2 separate regions of the Mus musculus genome follow, and region 2 is reported to be linked to region 1. Evidence: microRNA targets listed by miRTarBase, many of them from high-throughput screens and not tested one by one. Region 1 holds a microRNA gene; the other region holds the end of a gene's coding sequence.
Evidence for each region. Region 1 holds the annotated microRNA mmu-miR-21a-3p (CAACAGCAGUCGAUGGGCUGUC, at 7,333-7,354, shown strand). A microRNA usually pairs through its seed, bases 2 to 8, with sites in the 3' UTR of a target mRNA and lowers its output. Matches are read on the target gene's strand: a 7mer-m8 pairs with bases 2 to 8, a 7mer-A1 pairs with bases 2 to 7 and ends in A, and an 8mer does both.

Region 2: miRTarBase lists Snca as a target of mmu-miR-21a-3p. Seed matches in the 3' UTR shown: 7mer-m8 at 6,677-6,683.

The regions. Positions count from the first base shown.
Region 1 is chr11:86,578,552-86,591,435 of GRCm38, reverse strand. Mir21a (microRNA 21a) reads left to right here and starts at 7,278; the gene lies at 7,278-7,369. It overlaps Vmp1 (vacuole membrane protein 1), which reads left to right. Exons shown (of 12, transcript NM_029478.6): 11 at 4,838-4,940; 12 at 5,985-7,578. The coding sequence ends at 6,128. Gm46289 (a long non-coding RNA gene) reads right to left here and starts at 864. Exons shown (of 2, transcript XR_001780284.2): 1 at 681-864. RefSeq lists an enhancer at 3,607-5,240.
Region 2 is chr6:60,725,604-60,738,487 of GRCm38, reverse strand. Snca (synuclein, alpha) reads left to right here. Exons shown (of 6, transcript NM_001042451.2): 5 at 5,301-5,384; 6 at 6,327-6,915. The coding sequence ends at 6,359. Among named protein-coding and RNA genes, the nearest start is that of Snca, 97 kb to the left of the region's middle.

The DNA of each region.
Region 1 (12,884 bases):
GACACACACAAGGTCCCTGTAGCTCTGGCTCTCCTGGAGCACACTATATAGACTAGGCTGGCCTCTGGCTCCCAGGTGCTGAGATTAAAGGCATATGCTACTATGCCTGGCATTGTTGTTTTTATGGTGTGTGTGTCTGTCTGTCTGTCTGTCTCTGTCCGCCTCTGTCCGTCCATTCGTCTGTCCTTAGTGCTCATCAGCCCTCACCCACTGAGTTGCCTGAATGATCTTGTTTTGATTTTAAGACAGTGTTTCACCACAGACTTGCTATCCTTCTGCCTCAGTTTACCCACTGCAGTGATTATAGACATGATCTCCCATTTTCAGCAAAACAGTATACTTTTTCAGCTCACATTCCTGGTAAGTATAGTGCTATGACAATACATTAACCAAAAACACATCTGACTAGAACAATCCAAACAGAATCATGACAACCACAAGGAAAAGTTCAGGTATTTCATAGTAAGATCTAGTTAGGTTACTATCTCCATGACGGAGAAGGGACTCAAAGTTAATTAGATGTGTTCTTATATGTGACGAACCAACTTGCTAGAGCCACGGTTTGAAAGAATTCCATGAAAGGAGGGAGGCGTGGTGCCGGGTGGTTCTAGTGCACTTGGATTGAGTGCGACTTCTGCATGAAGCGACAAATAGAGCTGTGTGCATTGTGGAATACTTACCCCACCCACTCTTCAACAGACTCCCCCAGCTCTGCAGCTTCCTCGGGAGATCTGAGAACAAAATGACGCAAGCCTTTATGAGTAAAGATGAGGAGAGTTCAGAATGCATATTCTTGCTAGATATATGATTTAGACAAATAGAGTTAAACGTTTCTAAAACTATTTTAAAAATAAAGATTTGGCCGGGCGGTGGTGGCGCACGCCTTTAATCCCAGCACTCGGGAGGCAGAGGCAGGCAGGTGGATTTCTGAGTGCAAGGCCAGCCTGGTCCATAGAGTGAGTTCCAGGACAGCCAGGGCTATACAGGGAAACCCTGTCTCAAAAAACCAAAAAAAATAAATAAATAAAGATTTTACTTACAAAGTGGTCAGGACTCTTATTTCTCTCAAGTGTTATTTTGAGTGTATTTATCTGTTTGTTGGTTTGGTTGGTTGCTTAGTGTTGTCTGTGTGCTCTGTTTGAGCTCGGCCCCTTCTCACACTGCGCACGTTGGCTTGACCTGGCTTACACACTCTCCTGCCTCACTCATCTCAGGTGTGAGTCACTATGTGCTGCTGCAGTTCTCGTTCTCTTTTTGTCTTTTTTTTCTTTTCTTTTTTTTTAAAAGTAATTACTGTTTGTCAGGAAGTCTGTCTTCTGTTTGTGCTAACATATACTTAGGTACAAAACCATGGGAAACACATGAAATCAGTTTTGAGTTCTGAACTTTTGAGGTTTTTCTTTTAAGAGTTTAGGATTGATTTTTGTTGTTTTGTGACCCTCCCTCCTACCCCCCCCCCCCCAAAAATGTCAGTAACAGAAAGCAAACCTACCACCTACAAAATTTTTTTGTTTGCTTTGGGCTTAATTTTTTATTGTTTTTTTTGGGGGGGGGTGTTTTTTTTGTTTGTTTTGGTTTTGGTTTTTTGAAACAAGGTTTCTCTGCATAGCCCTGGTTGTCCTGGAACTCACTCTGGAGACCAGGCTGGCCTCGGACTCAGAAATCCGCCTGCCTCTGTCTCCCAAGTGCTGGAATTAAAGGCATGTGCCACCACTCACTGCCCAGCTTGATTGTTTTTCAAAACGCGGTTTCTCTGTGTAGCCCTGGTTGTACTGGAACTCTGTAGTCCAGGCTGGCCTCAAACTCAGCCAGATCCCCCTGCCTCTGCCTACTAATTTGTCCATAGAATATTTTTCTCCCTATTGTTTTAAAGGACAACAAGAAGAAGGTAAATCAGAAACCTTCCCTCTTTTAATGCTTTCTTATTGAAACCAAGTAGCTATTTATAAAGCTGGCTTAAGTACATTTTAGTCTAATAAGGGTGCTACAAAAGAGTTCAATACTAAAAATAATAATAATAATAATAAAACGAAAAAAGAGTTTAATACTAAATCATAGCTCTATCTATATTTGTTCTTCCACAGCATTGTGTTCTTCTATATCACAAAGCTAGTTCTCTGAGCTTCTCCCACCATTGAGGGTTAGATAAGAGAGTTCTTGCTGGGCAGTGGTGGCACACACCTTTAATCCCAGCACTCGGGAGGCAGAGGCAGGCAGATTTCTGAGTGCAAGGCCAGCCTGGTCTACAAGACAGCCAGGACTACACAGAGAAACCCTGTCTCAAAAAAAAAAAAAAAAAGAAGGGGCGAGTTCTTAGCTGTGGACACACAGTGGCTCTGAATTTATTGCTTTCAGAATAACACCTGCAACCAACACTGAACTGTAATAATGTATGTATACATGCACACATGCACCCACACAGCAGCAAATATACTGTTCTTGGTGTGCCAGAAGAGATTTGTATTTCTGGTCTACTTCTCAAACATAACTTAAGGGATGAGTTTTTGAGCTATTCGAGTGTGTGTTGAGGATGGCAGGGTGCTTTCTAGCAGTGTGAGGCTATGGACAAACTGGATATGGTGGTATAGACCTGCAGTCCCAGCACTGTGACGGTAGAGGCAGGAGATCAGGAGTCTTGGCAAGTGTGGATTGTACAACAAGTTCTAGCCCAGCTGAGCTATTTGAGCCCCTGTCAGGGGCTGGAGAGATGGCTCAGTGGTTAAGAGCACTGACTGCTCTTCTGAAGGTCCTGAGTTCAAATCCCAGCAACCACATGGTGGTTCACAACCATCCATAATGAGATCTGACACCTCCTCTGGTATGTGTGAAGACAGCTACAGTGTACTTATGTGTAATAATAAATAAATCTTTAAAAAAAAAAAAGAAAGCTGACACAGTGGTTAAAAGCACTTGTTGTAGTAGCTTTAATTTTTTTTTTTTCATTCAAAATCTCTGGTGTAAGAATACTTTGTGGGGACCTGTGAGGTGGCTCTGCAGGTAAGGATGCTTAACAAGCTGAGTTAGGTTCCCAGGACCCACATGTAGGAGGGAAGAACCAGACGTTGTCCTCTGGGTACAGTGGTGCAGTCAAAGGCAGTGTATCTGTCCACACACTTTGCTGGAATTGTTTTGTTATCTAGAGAATATATTCCTAGTGTAAATGGAGAGACTAATTGCCTTCCTGCCTGTACTATAAGGAAGAGTTGCTTAAGCTCCTAAGGAGATGTCCACCTACTGAGAGCGAGTCCCACCTGGGACTGCACTGCCTCACTGTTTGCCATTGTAGGTCTGCGGTTGGCAGTCGGCAGTCGGACTGCATTGCCTCGCCCTCAAAGCTTGTCTGTTTAGGCTATAATCACCATCCCTCAGTCATCTCTCCTTCCCCTCCCAGTTCTCTTAGCGTTTATTTTCTACATTGAGTCTCTAGGATTGTACTTTCTCCTGTTTGGTTTTGTGGCAAGGTCTCCGTGTAGCTCTGGCTGTCCTAACTGTCCCTACAAAAGACCTCTTAACTCACAGAGACTCACCTGCCTGTCTCATGAGAGCTGGGACTACTTGAGTGTGCTAATATGCCCAGCTGCATTTTGCTTTTCTATTTTATAGTGTGGACACAAAGTAGGGACTCCATTAAACGTTAAAGATATTACTAGGTAAAAGACTGATAGGTAATAATAGTACAAAAGAAAAAGAATGGCTAGCAGTTGGGAAGTTGTTGCTGGCTGGCAAATATAGTAGCAAAAAAGAGTCTTCTCTTATTATTCTGCTTGGGGGGGGGTGAGGAAATCGTTCACTGGTGTCAGTACGCTTTCGGGGTAGCACTGGGCACTGCGCACATGTGCCTGCTATACTTTTTCTGGCCCTAGGAAAAGTACGGGCTTATTTGCCTTGTAGCAAATAAGACAGATGAGAAAATAAAGGGTACAGGAAGTAAGGGTGTTTACTTTTCAAAGTTGCCCCACAGTACCGTTTAACACAACCTGTTAGCTATCAAAAGAAAAGGAGGGGTGGCGGGGGACCGGAGCCTGGTAGCTTCAGTTGCCAGACCGGTTTTACAGCCCTAGCTCTACGAACTCTGGGGACCTTGGTTGGTCCAGAGCCTTATCAGAGATAGCTATCCAGACATCTTGGAACAAGCTGTTTAGTAATGTACAGGAGTTTCTGGGCAAACATCCATCATAAGCCATGAAATGATTCAGGGTCCGCAGTTCCTCTCTGTTCCTTTGTTAATCACTGACTTCTGGCTGGGGGGAGGTGCCTCCCCAATGTGCTAATGCATTCTTTTTGGATAAGGATGACGCAGGGGTTGTCCTAATAAGGACTTAGATTGAGAAAGCACCTCCCACCCACCCCATCCCCCTGAGAAGACGGGACAGTCAGAGAGAGGGAGGGCAGTTTCTTTTTTAACTAGAGATGACACAAGCATAAGTCATTTCCTTATTAATCGGTTTAAACCAGTTCTTACAGGAACTAGTGGTGATAAATGTGGGACTTCTCAGAAGTCATTCATTTTATTCTTTGTGCCACAGCAGTGTGCAGTCTCAGCTGCACTAGCCTCGCCCTCCTGACATAGCAGTGGCTCTGAGCTCTCTCCTACTTTCTCCCAAATGCATTACTGCTGGCGAGACCTCTAAGGAGTTCAGGAGGAATTTTATCACTATCCAAGCTTCACAGGATTGCTGTGACCCTGATTGTTGAATTTTGTCCTTTTTATGAAGTCCTTGCCGCCCTTCTTTTCTTTTTTTTTTTTTTTTTTTAATCTGAAGGGTAAGTAGATTTCCTTTAACATTTCTCTTGCTTTTCTTCCCAAATGTGTCTTTCCTTTGGTACCTGCCTCCAGTGCTGTCCCCGGCATAGGTCCGTCTCTGCAGAAGCCTTTTCAAGAGTACCTGGAGGCGCAGCGGCAGAAGCTTCATCACAGAAGTGAAGCGGGCACACCGCAGGTGAGGATCCCTCCTGCTTCTCCCCCCTCGGCAGGCATCAGCAGGCTCAAACTAGATCCGGAGCTCTCCGGGTTTTAGATGGGGTGGCTGAGGGAGTTTATTGGTCTATGTCTAGTGGCTTTTCAGAAACAAGGATGGGGTAATGGAAGACAGGATTCTGTTGTGTGTGATGCTGTCTTGATCTTACATGAGTTATTACATACATTTCCAGGCTAGGTTAAAAAGTTAACACGTGCACCATCACCAAGCAGTAGGTAAAATGGTTATCCCCTTTCATTTCTGCTGTAGGAAAGCAACTGCTTGCTTGCTTTTCTTTTCTTTCTTTCTTTCTTTTTTCTTTTCTTTTCTTTTCTTTTCTTTTCTTTTCTTCTTTTCCTTTCTTCCTTCCTTCCTCTCTTTCTTTCTTTCTTTCTTTCTTTCTTTCTTTCTTTCTTTCTTTCTTTCTTTCTTTCTTTTTTCTTTTAAATAAAGCAAGGCTTTTACCACAGCTGAACTTTTAACTTGAATAAACTGCCTGGCCGTTTTGCCTTCAGTTCCTGAGGCAGAGGAAAGAACCAGCAGATGTGTAGGCAGCACCCTGAACAGGGAGCCTGGGGGAGAGCAGCCGCTTTCCCTTGGCTTTAGACTTCAAATAGCTCTTTGCCGCTGTGGCCAAAGAGGGCTCACATTTATGTTCTAAAAGCAGCTCTCAGAGTTTAGGTCCTCTTCCCCTTCCAAGCAAGGTCTGCAAGGCTGTAGAGAAAGTATAGACTCTAACCAGACCACTCTGTCACAGTGTAAAAGGACAGCCCACCCTCCCATCCCTCCCTAAGCCATACAGGTTAGCATCAGCTATCCATCCCACAGCTTGAACTGACAACCTAGTGTGGAAAAGCTTGGCCTGAATGTGGATTTCAGCCTACCTAGAGACCGGTTTTTAGTTGTTTGGGTATAATAGGCAAGCCTCAAGTTCTCATTGTTTCCCTTGAAGTGTTGCAAATAATCTCCTTAGTGTTGAACCGAGGAAACCCTTTTTCTTGAATTGTTCTGCTTTCTTTCCTACAGGGAGAAAACTGGTTATCCTGGATGTTTGAGAAGCTGGTGGTTGCAATGGTGTGTTACTTTGTCCTGTCTATTATTAACTCCATGGCACAAAACTATGCCAAACGAATCCAGCAGCGCTTGAACTCAGAGGAGAAAACTAAATAAGCAGAGAGTTTTTATCTGCAGAAGTTAACATGGTGGAGTCCTGCCTTACACTGGGAGGGCTCTAACCAGGAAGGAAGGTCCCCGTTTCCAACCTGTGTTGATTTTTAAAACATTCTTCCTGAAAGCAGTTTAGTCCATATGTTACACTGACATACTTTATTTGTTAAGGTAAGGTGTCTACACCCTCAGTTCAATCCACGTCGTATTCTTTAGGGTGGATGTGATGTTCTGCTGCAAACTTAACAAAAACTGGCCTTCTGATACCTTCACAGGGCCACACAGAACCTTCTGAAGTATGTTAAATATGTCAGGCTTTTTAGGCTTGTCACAAATGATTGTTTTTTTCTAAGTCACCAAATGTATATAAGTTATATATATTGGATAGCAATCTTGCATGTCTATCATGGAACAATTTAATATGCCTTCCTTTCCCACCCTCAAAAAGGCCATTTTATGACGCATTGCACACCCTCTGGGGAAATTGATCTTTAAATTTTGAAACAGTATAAGGAAAATCTGGTTGGTGTCTCACAAATGAGTACGCCATTTTTTATTCTGTATATTTAGAATGAAGTCGTGAAAAACTTTATAAAGACATCTTTGATCATTCCGAAATTGTGTCCGTTTTCTTTAGTGCTATGGTTTTTTGTTTCTTTTTCACTTCTACAAAGCGAGTGGCAGCCTTGCCAATTAGACTTAAACCAGAATTGCCCAGGCTTTTATGTATTGCCTGAGAGAGCTACCTCCAAGGTGTTTTGTTGTTGGGCTGGAGATCTAAGCGGGACTATGAGGTTCACCTAGAGTGGGAATCTCTTACTTTATAAAAACAAGAAGTGGTGATGTATAAATCAGAGGACACTAGCAAGAAAGGCTTTTTCATGTTCATGTTAGTTTTAGCTGTTTGTACTCCGGCTTTAACAGGTGGAAGCTTACTTCTCTGTGTGATTTCTGTGTTTTATTTCAATGTGATTTTCCTTTGACATTTTTTTGATTGACCCTGTTCATTTTGTTTTGCCTGGTAGGAAAATAAACAGCTTTCTTTCCTAGAATTGGCATTAAGCCCCAGCAAACCAGAGATGTTTGCTTTGCTTTAAACCCTGCCTGAGCACCTCGTGCTTGCCCCCTGTCGTGGTCGTGACATCGCATGGCTGTACCACCTTGTCGGATAGCTTATCAGACTGATGTTGACTGTTGAATCTCATGGCAACAGCAGTCGATGGGCTGTCTGACATTTTGGTATCTTTCATCTGACCATCCATATCAAATGTTTTCATTCAAACATTACCCAGCATCATGGTTTGCAGTCAAAAATTGTGGTCCTTATGTCTTGTGAGACTTGGAGCCCTTATACCTTGGTACAACAGCAGCAGTATCAAGAGAAAACTTCCTAGGAAATTGGGGTAGTCGTCACAGTCATAACTAAATAAATAAAAATGAAAAGTCACCTTGCCTCATGGATTTTGGAAAGGTTGTCCTTTGTTGGCTTTTGGTTGGCTGGTTGGTTTATGTTTTTTTCTTTACAGGGACTAACAATTTGTTACCTGGCCATACTTGAAAAGCAATGCCCAAATTAACAATGAAATTTTTATTTGTTTGTTTGTTTGCTTGTTTATTTACTTATTTATTTTGAGATAAGACTTCACTATGGAGACCAGGCTAGTCTTGGACTCATAAGAGATCAACACACCCTCGCCTCCCAAGTGCTAGAATTAACTTCGTATGCACCGTGCTGCCAGGCTTAGACTAGTATAATTCATATGTTAGCTAGCTAGCATCAGAATTCCCACCTTACTTTGCAATTGTTTCATCTCTTTGCCTCACTATTTTATTTTGTGTTTATTTGAAGAAAGAAGATGTTAAGTGTGAATTATATTAAGTCTTTGGGATTTATTTATAAAACTTGCTTCAGGATAGAATATTTAAGGAAAAAAAAAATGGTTTCCTAAGCTAAAAGTCTAGGAGACTAATCAAGCCCTAAACTCTGTTCATTTGTCCTGGATTCCCGCTGAAGCAGTGAGATATCTCTTCTGTCCCATGGTTGCCTGGTTTCATTAACCACTATCATAAATATATAGTTATATGTCTCCAAAGATACTACTACTTAAGTCTAGCTAGTAGGAGCCCAGAAAGTTTGCAAGTGGATGGTTTGATATTCCTGAAACTTGGAGAGAGCTCGGGCCTTCTGACTCCATCTCATAAGTCTTATTTTGTTCCTCTGCACTCCAGCTGCATGCCCCATCTGCAGTTTATTCAATCAGACACTGCCATGGAATGGGTCTGGAATCTTATGTACACATAATCTGGAGTGTGGGGCTCTGAAGAAGGATACTTCCATTTATTTGGATGCTGAACATATAGTTCAGTGGTTCTCAACCTGTGGGTCATGGCCCCTTAGCAGTCCTCTGTCTCCTAAAATACATTATGATTCATAACAGTAGCAAAATTACAGTTATGAAGTAGCAATGAAAATAACCTCGTGGTTGGGGGATCACCGCAACATGGGGAACCGTATTCAAGGGTCACAGCGTTAGGAAGGTTGAGGACCACTGGCCTTGTCCCATCCTCCTGACAAGCTAGAAAAAAAGAAGACTGCAAATGGTGTATTTTTCGCCTGCTAAGTGTAGAAGCACCTCCTGTGGTGAGCATTCCTTAACCTCCTCCTGACTCCAGCATGCTCTGCTGTCTGTAGCATAAAGACAGTATGAGATTCCTGTCACCCACCAAACACAAAACCTGCGTTAAGCTTAATAAGTTGCTGTGGTAAATGTTCCTATAACTCCAGTTTTGTTTCATTATTTTGCTTGTCTGTATGTTTTGAGACAGGGTCTGTCTGTGTAGCCCTAGTTGTCTTGGGACTCCCCGTGTAGACCAGCTTAGCCTCTGACTCAGAGTTCTGCCTGCCTCTGCCTCCAAAGTGCCTGAACTAATCACACCTAGCCTTAACTTCAGGTTTTTAGACTGATATGTTTTTTAGTTGCGTGTATCTGTGTGGGGGTATGTGCACATGTATTACAGTGTCAGAACACGGCATTGCATGGGAGCTGGAATTACAGGTGGGGCGTGTTAGGAGCTAAACCCAGGGCTTCCACATGAGCAGGGTTTGCTCCCACCTGCTTGCCATCTCTCCACTCCTGTCTTCAGTTTTTAAATCATCAAAGATGATCTTAGACACATGCAGAAACGTCATAATGTAGCAAGTGCACCAGAAACTTATCGCAGGTTCTCCACTTCAAACCTAGGCTTTTAGCGCTGCCGCTAGCAGGAGCTGCCGCCGGGCTGCACCGGTCTTCACGTGCTCCTTTGAAGCCTTCAGCATCTTAGATAGGTTTTTGTAGTAAGGAAAAAGACTATTTGGCCAAACCTTTTAAATTTTATTTTGAGGGGTATTGTGTTGTGTAACTATGTGTGTCTTCTTCCCAGTGCTGAGGCTACATTCCAGCTTGACAAGTTTTGTTTCGGGTTTTTTGTTGTTGTTTGTTTGTTTGTTTGTTTGTTTAATAACTACGTTTTATTTTTGTGGATGAGCGTACACATGCCGTAGTGAGTTCCTGAAGGTCCAAGAACAGCTTCTGCCTGTCAGTTTCCTTTTCCTTCCACATGAGGCTCAAGAGTCAAACTCCGAGCTTCAGTCCTGCCACAGAACCCTTCCACCAGGCCAGAAAGCAGTTATAAAGTCCAAATCAGGCTCTCGTGGTGAAAAGCCTTTGAGCCCAGCACTTGAGAGGCAGAGGCCAGCCTGGTCTACAGAGTGAACTCCAGGGCATCTGTCTTGAAAAAAAGCTCAAATTCAGAAAAAGACTCTGACTGGCCCCTTGATCTCAGCCCCGGGGAATCTGAGGCAGCACAAACAGTATTGAAACTGAAACCTTATCTCAAGAAAGGGGGAGGGCCGAGAGGAAAAGAGCGTACTATATAAGACCGAGAAAAACTAGATACGGCCAGCATGATGGCTTACTGGATGAAGGAGCTCGCTGCCAAGCCCGACCGTCTGATCGTCTGAGCTCAATCCCTGGGATTGTGCATGGTGGGAGGACAGAGTCCACAACTACAGATTGCCCTTGGTCCTTCTCATACACCGTGCACATACACTTGTTAAATAAATGTTTTAAAAAAGAAAAAGAAAGTTTGAGCAGGGAAACAACAGCTTTCAGAACTGAATCCAGGTCATTTAGTATAGGTAACTATGTCACCCTGGATGTTCTGAAACTGTAGACCAGGCCTCAAACTCAGAAATCCACCTTTCTCTGCCTCCCGAGTGCTGGGATAAAAGTCATGCGCCACTATACCTGGCCCGACCTTTTTTAATAGGCACCAAAAAAGCTGATGCATTTTCTTCATAAATAACTTGGTTGTGTGTGCATGTGGTAGTGAATAGTGTAGCACAGGAGGAGATTGTCCTGCCTAGGCCATAGGGTGTTCAGATTATAGACAGGTAACACAGCCTCCGGCTTGACTTGCTACCGAAGAATTAATAAGATTGCTACTAAGGTAATTTAGGAGTACTTTTTAAACACAACATCCTATCTCTAAGAGACCACATAGCATACCTTACATAGGATTATCCGTGGTTGACAGGGGTGTGGGTTCCAGTCCCTTCCCTACAGGGTCAAGAGTTCACCTGAAGTAATATGTTTGCCTTAGAGGTGAGGCCACGCAGTGCAGCAAATAACCTACCTAGTGCATTTGCATTTTTAGCCTGTTCCGGGAAGGGAAGAGATCTTACAAAGCCTGTGATTCGCAGCTGCTTACTCAAGCCTTGAGAATTGCACAGGGCAGGGATAGGCAGGTGCCAACTGTTCTTGTTCTTTGACCCCACTGGACCTGCCCAGATCTGTGTGGGCATAAATGGGAACTCAAAAAGGAGGTTGTTTTGGATGGCTGCTGCTCCCCATCAGAATTCACTTCAGATCTGAATTTATGCAAATTCTCCCAACCTGTGAGAGTGAGTCTGTTGCAAGTGGCTGGCTGGGTCTGGGAACAGACAGAAATGCAACTTTTGAGGGTTTGTCATCCAGATCCACCAGCCAGTGACGCTGGAAACACGGCTGTCCCTCTCAGCATAGCCTTTTTACATGTAAAGGGTTTCTTCCAATCTGTGGCCGGCGGCCGTTGCTGACTTAGTCAAGCCTGCTTAGGACTTTGGATCATTAGGGCGCACTTGAGTCCTGGTCTGAATTGCTTGGGGAAGGAAGAGTTTTACAGTTGGAGCTTTACATGGAAATTCCCATCTCTCATTTGGAGCCAGGTGTCCAACCTATTTGTTAACCATTTCCAAACGATTCAAAGGACAGACAGGAAGTGCTTGGACACACTCCAGCCCATTTCTACTAATTGGCCTTTATTTGCGTTGGAAACCACATCCCAGAATTCAGAAAGGACTCCAGCCTCCTGAGACCCCTGAGCCACCTATGCCAACTGACAGGGTCTTTAGGGAGTTCCTGGCCTCCACTGTCGGTCTTCACCCCAAATTCTTGCTAATTCTGGGAAGCCTCTTGCCACTCTCTGCTCCCCTCGTTGGGAAATAAGCACTTTTTCTTGGAGTCTCTTTGGACTGACCCAGCTGGACAGCATTGCCTAATTGTATTCTAGGCTGTCTAAAATCAAAAAGAAAAAATGTTTTGGGGTAGCGAGCTTTTGTGAAAAGTGATGGTCCTTTGGCTGGAGCTTGGCACTCCCAGTTGCCTCCCTCCCTCTTCTCACCGTGTGCTCCATACCACTGTGCATTACTCCTCGCTCCCAAGCCTGGCTCACTGGCCATGGCCGAAGGGAATGGTGTCCTCAGCCCAGCCACCTTCCAAGAAGGCCTCGAATAAAGCGAGGAAGCCGCTCTCTGCAGCCCCTCCCCCACCCGGCTGGAGATGGGGTCCTGGGCCTCCCGAGGGTGCTCCTGGGTCACTTGTTGGAAGACTGCTAAGCCCCACATGGCGCAAAGCCTACACCGTTTGGCCATGCTCTCAATGCTCCAAGCACCTCTACTCTGCCCATTGCACCGTCCCCTTCCCACAGAGACCTCTCTGATACGCCCTGAACCAGGAAGCACAGTGGGTTTCTGTAACTTTGATCAGGATTGCTTGCTTTGTACCAGACACTGTCTTCAGCGTCACGTCAAGCTTATCGTTTAGTCCTCACTGCAACCTCAGGAGAGCACTGAGACTGGGTGGTTCCGCTGTTTGTGCATAGCGGGGGCACAAACAAGGAAGTGGACATCGAGGCCTTGGTGTCTCAGCTCTTACGAACTCTGGTGTGGAAATCAGTGCAAAAGTTCAAGTTGCATCTTGTGATCAACTGAGTTGGTGGGGAACGGAAGAAAGCAGAAAACCAAGCCCCGCCTAAGAAGCCAGGCAGCTTTTCAGCCCTCCTGTGTCACAGGGTTCAAAGAGCTGGTCCGTTCCCCACCCCGATCCCCAGCTTTCCTGCCTGGCCAGCTTCCCAGGGTGCTCTTGTGAGTAACAACGATGATTACTAAACAATTCATATTTGTATAGGCCTTTTTTTTTCCTTTTCAATTTTGGGACAAGGTCTCACTTTGTAGCCCCAGCTGGCCTGAGATTGGCCGAGATCTCTCTGGGGTAAAAGGCATGCACCTTCCTTCATTTTCGGAGTGGTTTGCCATCTTGAGTTACCTGTTTTAATCTTCCTGACAACCAAGTGAAATCATCAGTGCCTGGAACGGCATCAGCACACTTTAAAAAAAAAAAAAAAAAAAAAAGGCAGATTATGGTGTCAGTCCTCCATGATCTCAGCACTTTGAAAGCA
Region 2 (12,884 bases), not on the chromosome of region 1:
TTTTTTATTTCTGCCAAGTTCACTTTTTTAATGTGTCCATATAATACATGGCTATTTCTCTTAGTAAAATGTGCTTTGTAATATATATATATGCACTTCCCTACGTGGGAAATGAAGTATATGGTGTGTACACTTTTTCTATTAAATTTACCTAACCGTTTTACACACACAAACACACACACACACACACACACACACACACACACACACACACATCTTCTAATTACTCTCTCCCTAACACCATTATTTTTCTTTCATCCCTATTAAGACCTTACTCCCACCATTGCTACTAGTCCCTTCCCCAGATTCATGGATTTTGGTTTTGTGACTCATTTGGTTTAGTCAGACCTTTTTCTGTGAACTTTCGATTGAGACTGCACATCAGTACATGATGTGATCTTCAGTGGGTATAAAACTGAAGGCAATGATTTACCCTTGCCCCAAATCATCAGTAGTAAGTAGTATAGCAGTGACAGGGTCATCTGAGTCCTTCTATCTATTTCTGACATTTGACAGGCTCATATTTGTGTATATACAAAATATTTATGCATATATTTGCATATATTAGGCATATATTTATGCATATACAGAGCAAGCACCTGTAGCTTCTATAAGTTCATGATTGAAATTCCTATGATTTGCCATGGAACACTATTTCTTCCTTTTGGCCCTTACAATCTTTCTGCTGCCCCTTCTTCACTACCTACTGGTCCTTAGAAGAGACAGGATAAGTGTAGTGTTTATACCTGAGCACTAATACTCTGCCTTTTGTAACCTGGAACCACGTGTCTCTACATTTACCATTGTTCACTGAAAGGAGAGGTTTATCTTATTAAGGCTGAAAGTAGCTTTTGTTCCATGCTACTGTGACAGACAACAAAGAGGAATGGCAAGAACCTGTACTGGTTGAGGGGTTTACTTGTGTCTTTGTGATGAACAGTCCTGGAATTTGGGTTTTGGTATAATAAAATGACTTCCAGGACAAATTTTGTTCAGCCTGTACTTTTTTTTTTAAATAGATCTATGTTATTTTTTATTTAAAATGGAATTCTGGGATGTATTTTATATTAGAGATACTTAACACAGTAAGATGTATGCTTAAATAAACCTTGCCCTATCATGTCAAAGTTCTTTTAAATGTCTGCCTTTTTCTTTATGGCTGTTGTTTTCTCCATCTTTATGATCTATTGAGCAAATGTGTTACTGTATTTATTAATGGGTTGATTAATATTACCTGACATTATAACAAAATACTGGTCTCATCCAAAACATATGTTTAGCATAAGAGCAGTGGGATCAGATCTTGACCTGCTGCTTTCAGTGTTGTAAGTGTAGATATCAGGTACTTGTTTAGCCCTTACATTTGAAAAAATACCATATACTCTTCCAGCTGTCTTTCAGAAACCCAGTTTTCCTTTAGCTCCTTGTAAATTTTGAAGCAGAGATCACCTTTTATTTTCCTGTATTTATATTGGTAGATAGAACATTGTTATTTTCTTATATTAAATGTCACTGTGGAGGTGACAAATGATTGCTGACAGTGGATAGTAATTACCAGGGTCAATTGTAAATTTTGGTCAGTTCTGATCTTAAATTCTGTTTACGTGAATAATCTTTGTTTTCTGTATTGCAACATTGCCACCAAGAATTATCCTTTACAAAATACTTTGTTGTAAACATCAGTGAAGATTATGATGCAAGCTATGCATGGGGAGGTAAGATGTATACTATACATGGGAGCCAAGTAGCATGCAAGTTAGGGTACAGTCTATGCATTAGGGGCCAGGAAGTTTCAAGACATTTATGAGGGTTGGGTAGGATGGAAACTGTACATGAAAAGACCAGGTAGCATGAAAGCTATATTTTAGGAACTAGAAACATGCAAGATATATGTGGAGGTGGCAGGTAGGATATAAACTATGCATTTGGAGTCCAGGCAGAATGGAAACATGTTAGAAGGATTCAAGCTATGCATTAAGAACCAGACAGAATTCAAGTGATAAGGAGGGGGTATGGAGGGGGGGGTAGTGGGATACAAGCTGTGCATTAAATGCAATGTGACCTGCTGGCTATGCATTAGGGGCTAGGTAGGATGCAGGATATACAGTAAGGACCAAGTAGCATGCATTAAAGTCCAGGTAGTATACGAGTATACAAGCTACACAAAAGAAGCTAGGTGGTATTGCAGCACAGATCTCTCTGAAAAAGAGGAGATACATATTTGATATCCTTGATACAGAATTTTGACGATCTTCTCTGCAGGAAAAATGGTGGATGCGAGCCTGTCTTTTGTATGGCCACTAAATCTGTACCAACACCTTGACCTGTACTAGATCCTCTATCTTTGCCCTTTGACAGGTTTTGCCCACATGCAGGTTACCAGTTAGTGTTTTTTTGTTTGTTTGTTTGTTTGGTTGGTTTTTTTTTGTTTCGTTTTATAGGTCAAGACACTTGCTTTTTTATTTAGACAGCATCTCTCTTCTTTTGAGTATGTATTTATATTTTAAATGATACAGTTCTCTGTTCACAGATAAACTTATGGACACATCCGTGGTTTCACTTTTATTATAGAAATTATGGATCCTTTATGATTTTATGGAACCCTTGCCTACAAATTAAGCTGTGAATTTTTAAAAAAATCTTTGATAAATTTGTAGCTGGAGCTGTGAGTCCCTCCATGTGTACTCTTTGGATGGTGGTTTAGTCCCTGGGAGCTCTGGGGGTACTGGTTGCTTCATATCGTTGTTCCTCCTATAGGGCTGCAAATCCTGTCTGCTCCTTGGGTCCTTTCTCTAGCTCCTCCATTGGGGACCCTGTGCTCAGTCCAATGGTTGACTGAGAGCATCCACCTCTGTATTTGTCAGGCACTGGCAGAGCTTCTCAGGAGACAGCTATATCAGGCTCCTGTCAGCAAGCACTTGTTGGCATCCACAATAGTGTCTGGCTTTGGTGACTGTATGTGGGATGGATCTCCAGGTGGAGCAGTCTCTGGATGGCCTTCCCTTCTGGTCATCAATAGGAGGAGAGGCCGTTGGTCCTGTGAGGGCTCAATGCCCCATTGTAGGGGAATGCCAGGACCAGGAATTGGGAGTGGATGGGTTGATGAGCAGGGGGGAGGGAGAGAGGATATGGGGTTTTCAGCAGGGAAACCAAGAAAGGGTAGATACTTGAAATGTAAATAAAGAAAATATCTAATAAAAATATTAAGCACACATACAAAAAAAACTTTGATAAAGATAACTCCTCAAGATTTGTGGAACACGGTGTTTCCTAAATGAATGCCAGGAGAGTACAATCTTTAGCACAGGAAAATGTAGTACTAAGAAACACAAACACGTATACTATGTTTTTAAAAAGAAACCAACAATTATTGATTTACAACTTGGATGATTTTATGATTAAAATTGACATGAAGGGATTTTAATTGATTGTATTTCATGGTAAACCCAGGAAGGAATTTCTAAGCAACATTCAGCATTATCTGGATGAACTCTGAAGGGCAAACACAGTTATCCCCTTATACACATGGACACCCACAGCCTGTGACATCCTCTTCTACTAATGTAGGAATATCAGAGTTAGGAGCCCCCAGGGTTGGCCTTTCATATTGTCTTATCCAGTTTATAACATAAATCTCACAAGTTACATTGGAAAATGCACTGAAGAGGTGGTTTACTATATTTCCTTCCTATGAGCTGTATAAAAATCACGTAAACATCAGTGAGAGGGGTCCATTGTGTCACTTGCTCCTCCCAGTTATATACAAATGAAAAGATCTCTTTGCTGTCTTTTCTCAACACAGTTAGTTGATGCTCAGGAGTGGTGGTAACATGCCCAGAGTCACAAAAGATAACTTAGGCTGGAATTGTAATGTGCATCCTATGATCAAGTTCTGGGGCTGAACTACCACACAACCAAAACCTGGATTCTTATACTACCATGTAAAATACTGTTACTCTACATTTTGAAGTGAGGTGATTTGGGGACAGTTTAAGACTTATTTAACTTATAAACAAATTGGCCTCTCTGGGTTTGTAACCAGAGATTGTTGATATCTATACAGCATGATAGGATGATCTGTAAGGTGCCCTGCCAAGCTACCGAAAGCATGACCTTCAGAGTCTGACCTTGCCTTAGTGTCAACTCTTATTTCTTCCCTCTGCCCACCTGTCCATTATGCCTATGATAAAAGCAGAGGGAGATAGCATTTACAGTGAGTATATTGCCCACAGAAGCTGAGCATCCTTTGATCTCATTGAAATAGACCATTTAGCCTCTAGTTGCTCTTTGAGTATTTGCTGAACTCTGTCATTCAATAATTACTTTGGTGGAACAAATGGAAAAGAACAAAAGATCTTTGATGAAGGATACAAAAAAGCTCCATCATGTCAAGCTGAATGCTAGGGTGTCTGCATTGTGGAGAGATAATCTGAAATTTTGTCCAATCATATCTTTGTTTTGGTTTTGGTTTTGGTTTTACTTCAAGTACATATAATTTCAAACTTCAGCTTTCCAAAGAGAACTATTTCTTTGGCAGCATTTAAGAATGAATTATTGGGGCTCAAAATATAGCTCACTGTTTAAGAACATATGTATTTTTCTTCCAGAGGACTCTAGTTTATAATCTAGCACCTATATGGAGAATCACAAGGATCTATAGCTCCGGTTCCAGGGAATGTGATGCCCTCATTATTCACCACACATGCACATAGTCCACACACATACTCACAAATAAAAGAAAAGAAAACAATGAATTATAAAACACATGTACTTTACCTTTTAAAATTTAGGAAAAATAAATAATAATGATAATTTGTCAATATTTGTTTTACTTTTTTGGAACATTTTTACTTTTTCATTGAAATGCTATGTGGGTTCTGTCTACAAATGACATCCTGTTAAACATTACACCAAAAATAAGCTATCCTTATTAGAGAATTGGCAAATGATTTCAGAAAAGTTTTGAATACATTACTGTTATTTGATTCATCATTACCCATTGACTACAAACCATTGTTACTATAGCATTGCGCTTATGGAGAGAACTTATGGACTTTAGCTTTGGCAACTTCCAGTGTAGTTAATTACCTGTGCAAAATATTTGTACTCTTTAGATTGGTAACCCATGCATGCACAATGTTTTTTCCAGTGGTTTGGTACACTTAGAATCCATCAATAATACAGAAGAATGCACTTCTGATAACACTTCGTGCAGCACCTTGAAGATAAGGTGTCTTTTTCAAGCTGGTTTTCAGAAGTTAAAACACTCTCTTATTGTGCTTTCTCTTCCCTCTCTGTAGGGTGAGGAGGGGTACCCACAGGAAGGAATCCTGGAAGACATGCCTGTGGATCCTGGCAGTGAGGCTTATGAAATGCCTTCAGAGGTAAATGCCTGTATAAAGAAAACTAAGCAAAACACTTTAGGTGTTTAATTTGGAACACATACCATCAAAACCCTGCCACTATCAGATCTCTCTCACATTATGGTTGGCATAGTTCAATCAAGAAAATATTTTAGAGCAAATGATTTTAATCTTTGTGGGAGAGGGTAAGGGATATAGTAGGTCAAAATTAAAACATTCTAGAACAAGAGACTGGTAGTAACAAAGGCATATGGAAATGTCTGAGTAACAACGGGCAGTTATGAATCATGGTTAGAAAACAGAAAAATGACAGATTAAGGCTGAAGACATAACTAAGGTTTTAGACAAACTGTAGAGCCCCAAGTTACCATCATTTAAGTTTATTTTTACATTTGGAAAAAGAAGAGTTTGATGATAGGTTTAGTTTAACAGCACAATCCTAATTAGAGTTAATTTTGAGGAAGGCTATCAAATTCAGTTACATTGGGTCATTACTGTCATGAATGTTATCTGGATTTTGTCCAGGAGGCTTGGGCTTTCATGTGAAAGATCCTTCATGGAAGCAATTCATGAAGGTGGAGTGTTCTAATGGGGGAGAGAAAGGCGAAAGATGAGCTCTGGAGGAGGCTTCATGCAGCTTACCTAGGTGTGCACAGCTCACACTGCAGAGCAAAGGAGAGAATCCAGAGACCCTGCCAATTCACACTGCAGGAGGAGAGCACAGATCAAATGATATACCTAGAATTGGGCCTAATAATCTAACGGTGATGTCCTCTATAACTTACAGTTGATACGTATGAAAAAGCCAATAAATGTCAATGACAGATAAGTTCCAAACACTGCTCTGAGGATCAATTTTATCTGATTGAAATGATGAGCCCTCCCCCACTGTGAAGCAGACAGTTGATATCTGTCACTTCACTGACAAGGCATGCTGTTATTATTTTCTTTTCCTGATATTAGGAAGGCTACCAAGACTATGAGCCTGAAGCCTAAGAATGTCATTGCACCCAATCTCCTAAGATCTGCCGGCTGCTCTTCCATGGCGTACAAGTGCTCAGTTCCAATGTGCCCAGTCATGACCTTTTCTCAAAGCTGTACAGTGTGTTTCAAAGTCTTCCATCAGCAGTGATCGGCGTCCTGTACCTGCCCCTCAGCATCCCGGTGCTCCCCTCTCACTACAGTGAAAACCTGGTAGCAGGGTCTTGTGTGCTGTGGATATTGTTGTGGCTTCACACTTAAATTGTTAGAAGAAACTTAAAACACCTAAGTGACTACCACTTATTTCTAAATCTTCATCGTTTTCTTTTTGTTGCTGTTCTTAAGAAGTTGTGATTTGCTCCAAGAGTTTTAGGTGTCCTGAATGACTCTTTCTGTCTAAGAATGATGTGTTGTGAAATTTGTTAATATATATTTTAAAATTATGTGAGCATGAGACTATGCACCTATAAATATTAATTTATGAATTTTACAGTTTTGTGATGTGTTTTATTAACTTGTGTTTGTATATAAATGGTGGAAAATAAAATAAAATATTATCCATTGCAAAATCTTTCCTGGTTCCTTTTACTTTAGTAACAAAATCATGCATATCAGGAACATGAACATTTAATGACAACTGACACAGTGAACTGGAATGAAAAGTTGCAACATGTCTTAAGGAACCGAGGGGATTTAGAGATGGAACAGCAGGAAGGATTCTCCAGTGAGATTGAACACAGCCAGCTTTATCTACAGTTCTGCTCAGAGCTGTGGCTGCACTTGAGGAAACACTTCATTGGAACTAAAACGTGTGAGGGATAGTGAACTTTTACATATTCATAAGACACATTAGCATATCAGAGGCAGGCCATTGAAGAACCTTAATTTGGAATTTATGGCATGTATATGTGTGTGTGTGTGTGTGTGTGTGTGTGTGTATTTGTGTGTGTGTGTGTGTGTGTGTGTGTGTGTGTGTGTGTGTATAAAAGAACCCAGGAAATACCTTAAAACTCCTCAGGGACCCCAGGCAGTGGGCTATGTATATGATACCTTAGCAGGTACGCAAAGGTAAAAGCAAAATGGAACAAAAGGCAATGTCAATTTGTGAATAACAGGGATTTGGGAATATCTTTTAGGAAAAGGTTTCTTTAGATAGGCTTAATTACCCATGAATGAAGACAAAAACTTGACTGACTGAGAAATTACTCAGTTCATCTTCCTAATTATTCAGAAGAAAACCAGCAAAGCCACAGTGAAAACCACTTGCAGAGAGTACACTTTCTGTAACGAATATTGTTGCTCCTGTACGGTCATGAGTAATTGATGTGTGTTGGACAGTGACAGGAACAGAAGAGGAGTGGGAGACCATGAAGATAGCACCACTGGAACTTCCTTCTGCCCAGTTGAGAAAATACTATGGAGTGTTCAGTTGCATGTGTGCTTTGACCCTGGAAATAGGTGATAACTCCTTATCTAATTTATGTTTCCTTGAAGCTGATGAAGGATTCATTATTAAGGTAGCCCAGATGGTGTTTAGGGTACATTATATATTTACCGAAAGTACCCTCTTCTTAAAAAGGAAAGATACAAACAGAACACAATCAAATTGATGACAATGACAATGAGCAGTGTAGGACTGGAGGCAGACTGTGCTTGACCTTGAGAACTGCTATTGATGGGTATGGTATTGTAAAGCTCTTCTTCTCTTAAGCAGTGCCACGCTGTCAATGTGCGAACAGTTAATGAGTTTTTGCTGTTTAGCTTTCTTTTATCTTAAGAGTGTTTCACTCACCACCTAAAGGAAGCTCCTTAGTTCACACAAGCCCTGGTAGGAGTCCAGCCCTTGAGAAGTGCAGTCTGAGGATGCCTCTTGACTAGAGCTTTAGCTTTCCAGATTTAAATCCCAAGTCAGAGCTGTTTGATTTGTAATGAGTCCACGAAGGACTTTAAAGAAAGCCGTCCACAGCAGGCTTGGGCCCCACAATTGGCAGCACTACACAATCAAATGTACACTTTGGAATTTCAACTTTTGCCTTCTTTTCAAAAGTCTCTTCTCCAGATTGTAAGATGCAAGTATACTTCATAATTTGTATAGCTATTTGTGGCATAATGGAATTTATACATAGGGTGTCATACAACTAGTACACTTATAATCTATTCAGAGCCAGGAGGCTTATGGTTTGAGACACTGTCTCAGGAAACATATTCAGAATGTTTCTGCCTCTAATTCCTGGAGGAGTAATTTAAAAGCATTGTGATTTTATGTGCCATATGATTGCTAAGTGTGTCTCTTATTCTAATAACTGATCTATCGATATCTATCTATCTATCTATCATCTATCTATCTATCTATCTATCTATCTATCTATCAATCATCTATCTATCTATCTATCTATCTATCTATCTATCTATATCATCTATCATCTATCGATCTATCTCTCATCCGTGGTTTGCACATAGCTCCCAGTGCTAAGAATTTCTTAACTCTTGTTCTGATGAAATGCACACAATTTGGCTTCTGAAGCTGGCTGATGTATAAGAGAGAAAGGACTATATTTACCTCAATCAGCACAAGGATGGCAGTAGATATCTCTGTAAGAAAGAAGAGCAAAATGAAGAGCTAACTTAGCTAACCAAAGTTTGGCATGATAGATGAGGAGTTAGGCATTAAGGGCTAAAAATAGTAGAAAACTATATTTTTATGTTTGAATTTTGTAGAAGAATAAACAGTTTTATAGAACTATGGTTAACTTCAAATGTCATATCACCTAATGGAAATATACTGAGAGGGCTGACAAATCCAGTTTGTATTTTTCTTGCTTCTGTTAGTATTCTTTCCTTCGGAGATGGGTGAGTATTACTTGAGGGTCTTCAGAGATGGAAAGGTCAGAGAGAAGGAGGAAGGTAGGGGGGAGAGAGAGAGAGAGAAAGAGAGAGAGAGAGAGAGAGAGAGAGAGAGAGAGAGAGAGAGAGAGAGAGAGAGAGAGAGAGAGGAGCTTTCTGATTCCAAAGCTTTCTTCTGTTTCCCTCAGTTTCAAATACACAACAAGCCAAAGTGTTAACATATTTCAAGACATGTATTCTGAGTCCTGGCCTTGGGCAGCAGAACTGTGAAACCATGATTAGCAACTTAAAGCTTTTAGACCCTATTTCAGTCCCCCAGGAAGGGGAAAGATTTAGATCTTAAGATCCATCTTCACTATTTCTTTATAAAAGTCCCTATAAAAGGCTTAGGCAGCTTCTGGGCAATTGAGCAAACAGAGATGTCCTGAGGTTCCTAACACACACCTACGATGCTCTTTGTGTCTTTTTTATGTGGTTGCTCCTGGAGTCTATCTTTTGCAATAAACTGGTAATATACTGAGTAAGTTGTATATTATTACTCCTAAAAATCATTAAAACTAAGCAGAGAATCTTGGGAACCTCTAATTAAGGAACCAAGGTCAGAAGTTGGGAGTAACTTGAAGACCCAGTACTCACTACTGGCATCTTTTACTGGAGTTTTGTGGGACACTTTAGCCTGAGTGCAGTAATTTTTTTCTTTTTATAGGAGTCTGTGGTATTTAAACCCATCCCAAGGAAGAAAATACATTCTTCTAAAAACTTAGCATACTGCCCCTGGCATTGCCATGGGGAAGTTGTATTTCTATGTAGGATGAGTGTGTCTGCATTCTTTCTTCCTTGGGCATCGCAACACATCAGGACTGGCATGATCATGCTAGCCCTGTCCCTGAATTTGGATATACTTTAAGAAAACGTTATTTGACTAATATATATATTTAGGTGTGATTTTAATACATAATTTTAGGTCATTTAATTCTCAAAACAATACCAAGAAATTGAATTTTCTATCTCACTTATTACATGAACAAGATTAAGCACCTAATGGCTAAAGAGTTTGATCAAGACTACCTCTCCAGTAAGTGGAAGGATTTAGAGTCCCAGCCTTCACAAAGTCTCTAGAAGAAGAATGTGCCACTACATTAGAGAAATTTCTAAATGTCTGATCACTAGTGTGGATTGTACTGCTCAAGGTACAAATACTGGGATGCTTCTATTTTTCTTTATGTGCCTTTGTGCTATGAGAGTTTTATATCTGAAGAGATATTTCTTTTCTTCTCTCTTCTTTTCTTTTCTTTTCTTTTCTTTTCTTTTAATTGGATATTTTCTTTATTTACATTTCAAATGTTTTCCCCTTTCCAGGTCTCCCCTTCAGAAATTCCATATCCCATTCTCCTTCCCCCTGCCTCTATGAGGTTGTTCCCCCACTCACCCACCCACTTCTGTCTTTCCTCTCTGGCATTCCCCTACATTGGGGCATCAAACAACCTCAGACTCAAGAGCCTCTTTTCCCAGTGATGTCCAACAAGGCCATCCACTGCCACATATGCAGCCAGAGCCATGGGTCCCTCCATGTGTATTCTTTGATTGGTGGTCCCATCCCTAGGAGCTCCAGAGGGTATGGCTGGTTGACACTGTTGCTCCCTAAATGGAGCTGCAAAGCCCCTCACCTCCTTCAGTCCCTTCTCCAACTCCTCCATCAGGGACGCCATATTCAGTCCAATGGTTGACTGTGAGCATCTGCCTCTGTTTTTGTCAGACTCTGGCAGAGCCTCTCAGGAGGCATCCAAATCAGTCTTCCATCAGCAAGCACTTCCTGGCATCCACAATAGCATCCAGGTTTGGTGGCTATATATGGAATGGATCCCCAGGTGGGGCAGTCTCTAGATGGCCTTTACTTCAGTCTCTGCTCCACACTTTGTCTCCATATTTCCTCCTGTGAGTTTTTGTTCAACCTTCCAAGAAGGACTGAAGCATCCACATTTTGTTCTTCATTCTTGGGCTTCATAGGGTCTGTGAATTGAATCTTGGATATTCCAAACCTTTAGTACATATCATGTGTGTTCTTTTGTGACTGAGTTACCTCATTCAAGATGATATTTCCAAGTTTTATCCATTTGTCTGCAAGTTTCATGAAGTCATTGTTTTTAATAGCTGAGTAGTACTCCATCATGTAAATGTACCACATTTTCTGTGTCCATTCCTCTGTTGGGGGACATCTGGGTTGTTTCTAGCTTCTGGCTATTATAAATATGGCTGCTATGAACATAGTGGAGCATGTGTCCTTATTACATCTTCTGGATATATGGCCCGGAGTGATATAGCTGGGTCCTAAGGTAGTACTATGTCTAATTTTCTGAGGAACTGCTAGACAGATTTCCATTCTGATATTAGATAATCTTGTCACCCATTGACAGGTATTTTATTGTAGTTAAATGATGCATTTGCTGATGATCTTCCTCATTTATTTCCAGTAAAAACTGAAATATTGATGTAATCATAACAATAATCTGTCACAAGGCAAGCTTTGCCATGTCTCCATTGAATCATTGGCTTCTGCCAAATGGCCAAAGAAATAGATAAATTCTTTCTTTTCTTTTCTTTCTTTCTTTCTTTCTTTCTTTCTTTCTTTCTTTCTTTCTTTCTTTTTTTTTTTTTTTCGAGACAGGTTTTCTCTGTATAGCCCTGGCTGTCCTGGAACTCACTCTGTAGACCAGGCTGGCCTCGAACTCAGAAATCCGCCTGCCTCTGCCTCCCAAGTGCTGGGATTAAAGGCGCACGCCACCACACCTGGCGATAAATTCTTTCTTAACTAGGAATTTTAATTGTGTTTATTTATCAGTGAAAACCTAGTATATGAATGCATTACCATATTAAGGGAATAAGCTAAAAATTTCCATTGGCCAATGATATTGATCCTTTAATGTTTTGCGATAAAATTCTAATTTCTAGTTACACTTTGATAGAGTGAGGCCTTATTTTTATAGTTAGTGAAACATATGATAGAAGAGCTCAAAATGTAGCAGAACAGATATATCATCAGAACTTTTTGAAAGATGACTTTGTTTCCTTTAATCTCAACATTTCTTCTTCTTTGCTGCTCACATGGTCACTGTGTTAATCTTAGATCTCATATTAGAATCAGTTAAAAATATTTCTTCAAAGAGTTATACTTTGACTCTATAGTAACGCTGAACAATACAATTTAACTCTAAAATCATCCAGGACTGCAAAGGGGATTTCAAAATGCTCCACCAGAAACTAGAGATGAATATCCTAGGCTGATTACTCTTATGAGTTTTATGAAAGCATATTCTTGCATTATCTGAAAGGTCAGTGACCAGAAATCCCCATTGTTTCTATAGCAACATAGCAAAGTCATGCTGCCTTAGAAATCTGTTTCATATTAATTATGTTCCTTCAAGCCTTTTTAACTGCCTTTTGTAGGTAAATAAACACCAGGTTTATACCGTAAAAGGAGATAGACACGAACTCATGTTCATAAATATGGAAGTTAAGCTGGGATCTAGTAACGTCAAATCTAAGCAAATATAGTGGCAAATCTATGTGTTTATCTTAGGAAGGATATAATATTCTTGACTTAGAATAGACAATGATGCATGCTTGGGAGGCTGACCAGGGGAGTGTTGAAGACCCAGATATCAAAACAAGACCCTTAAAGATTGTCTAGCCTATTGC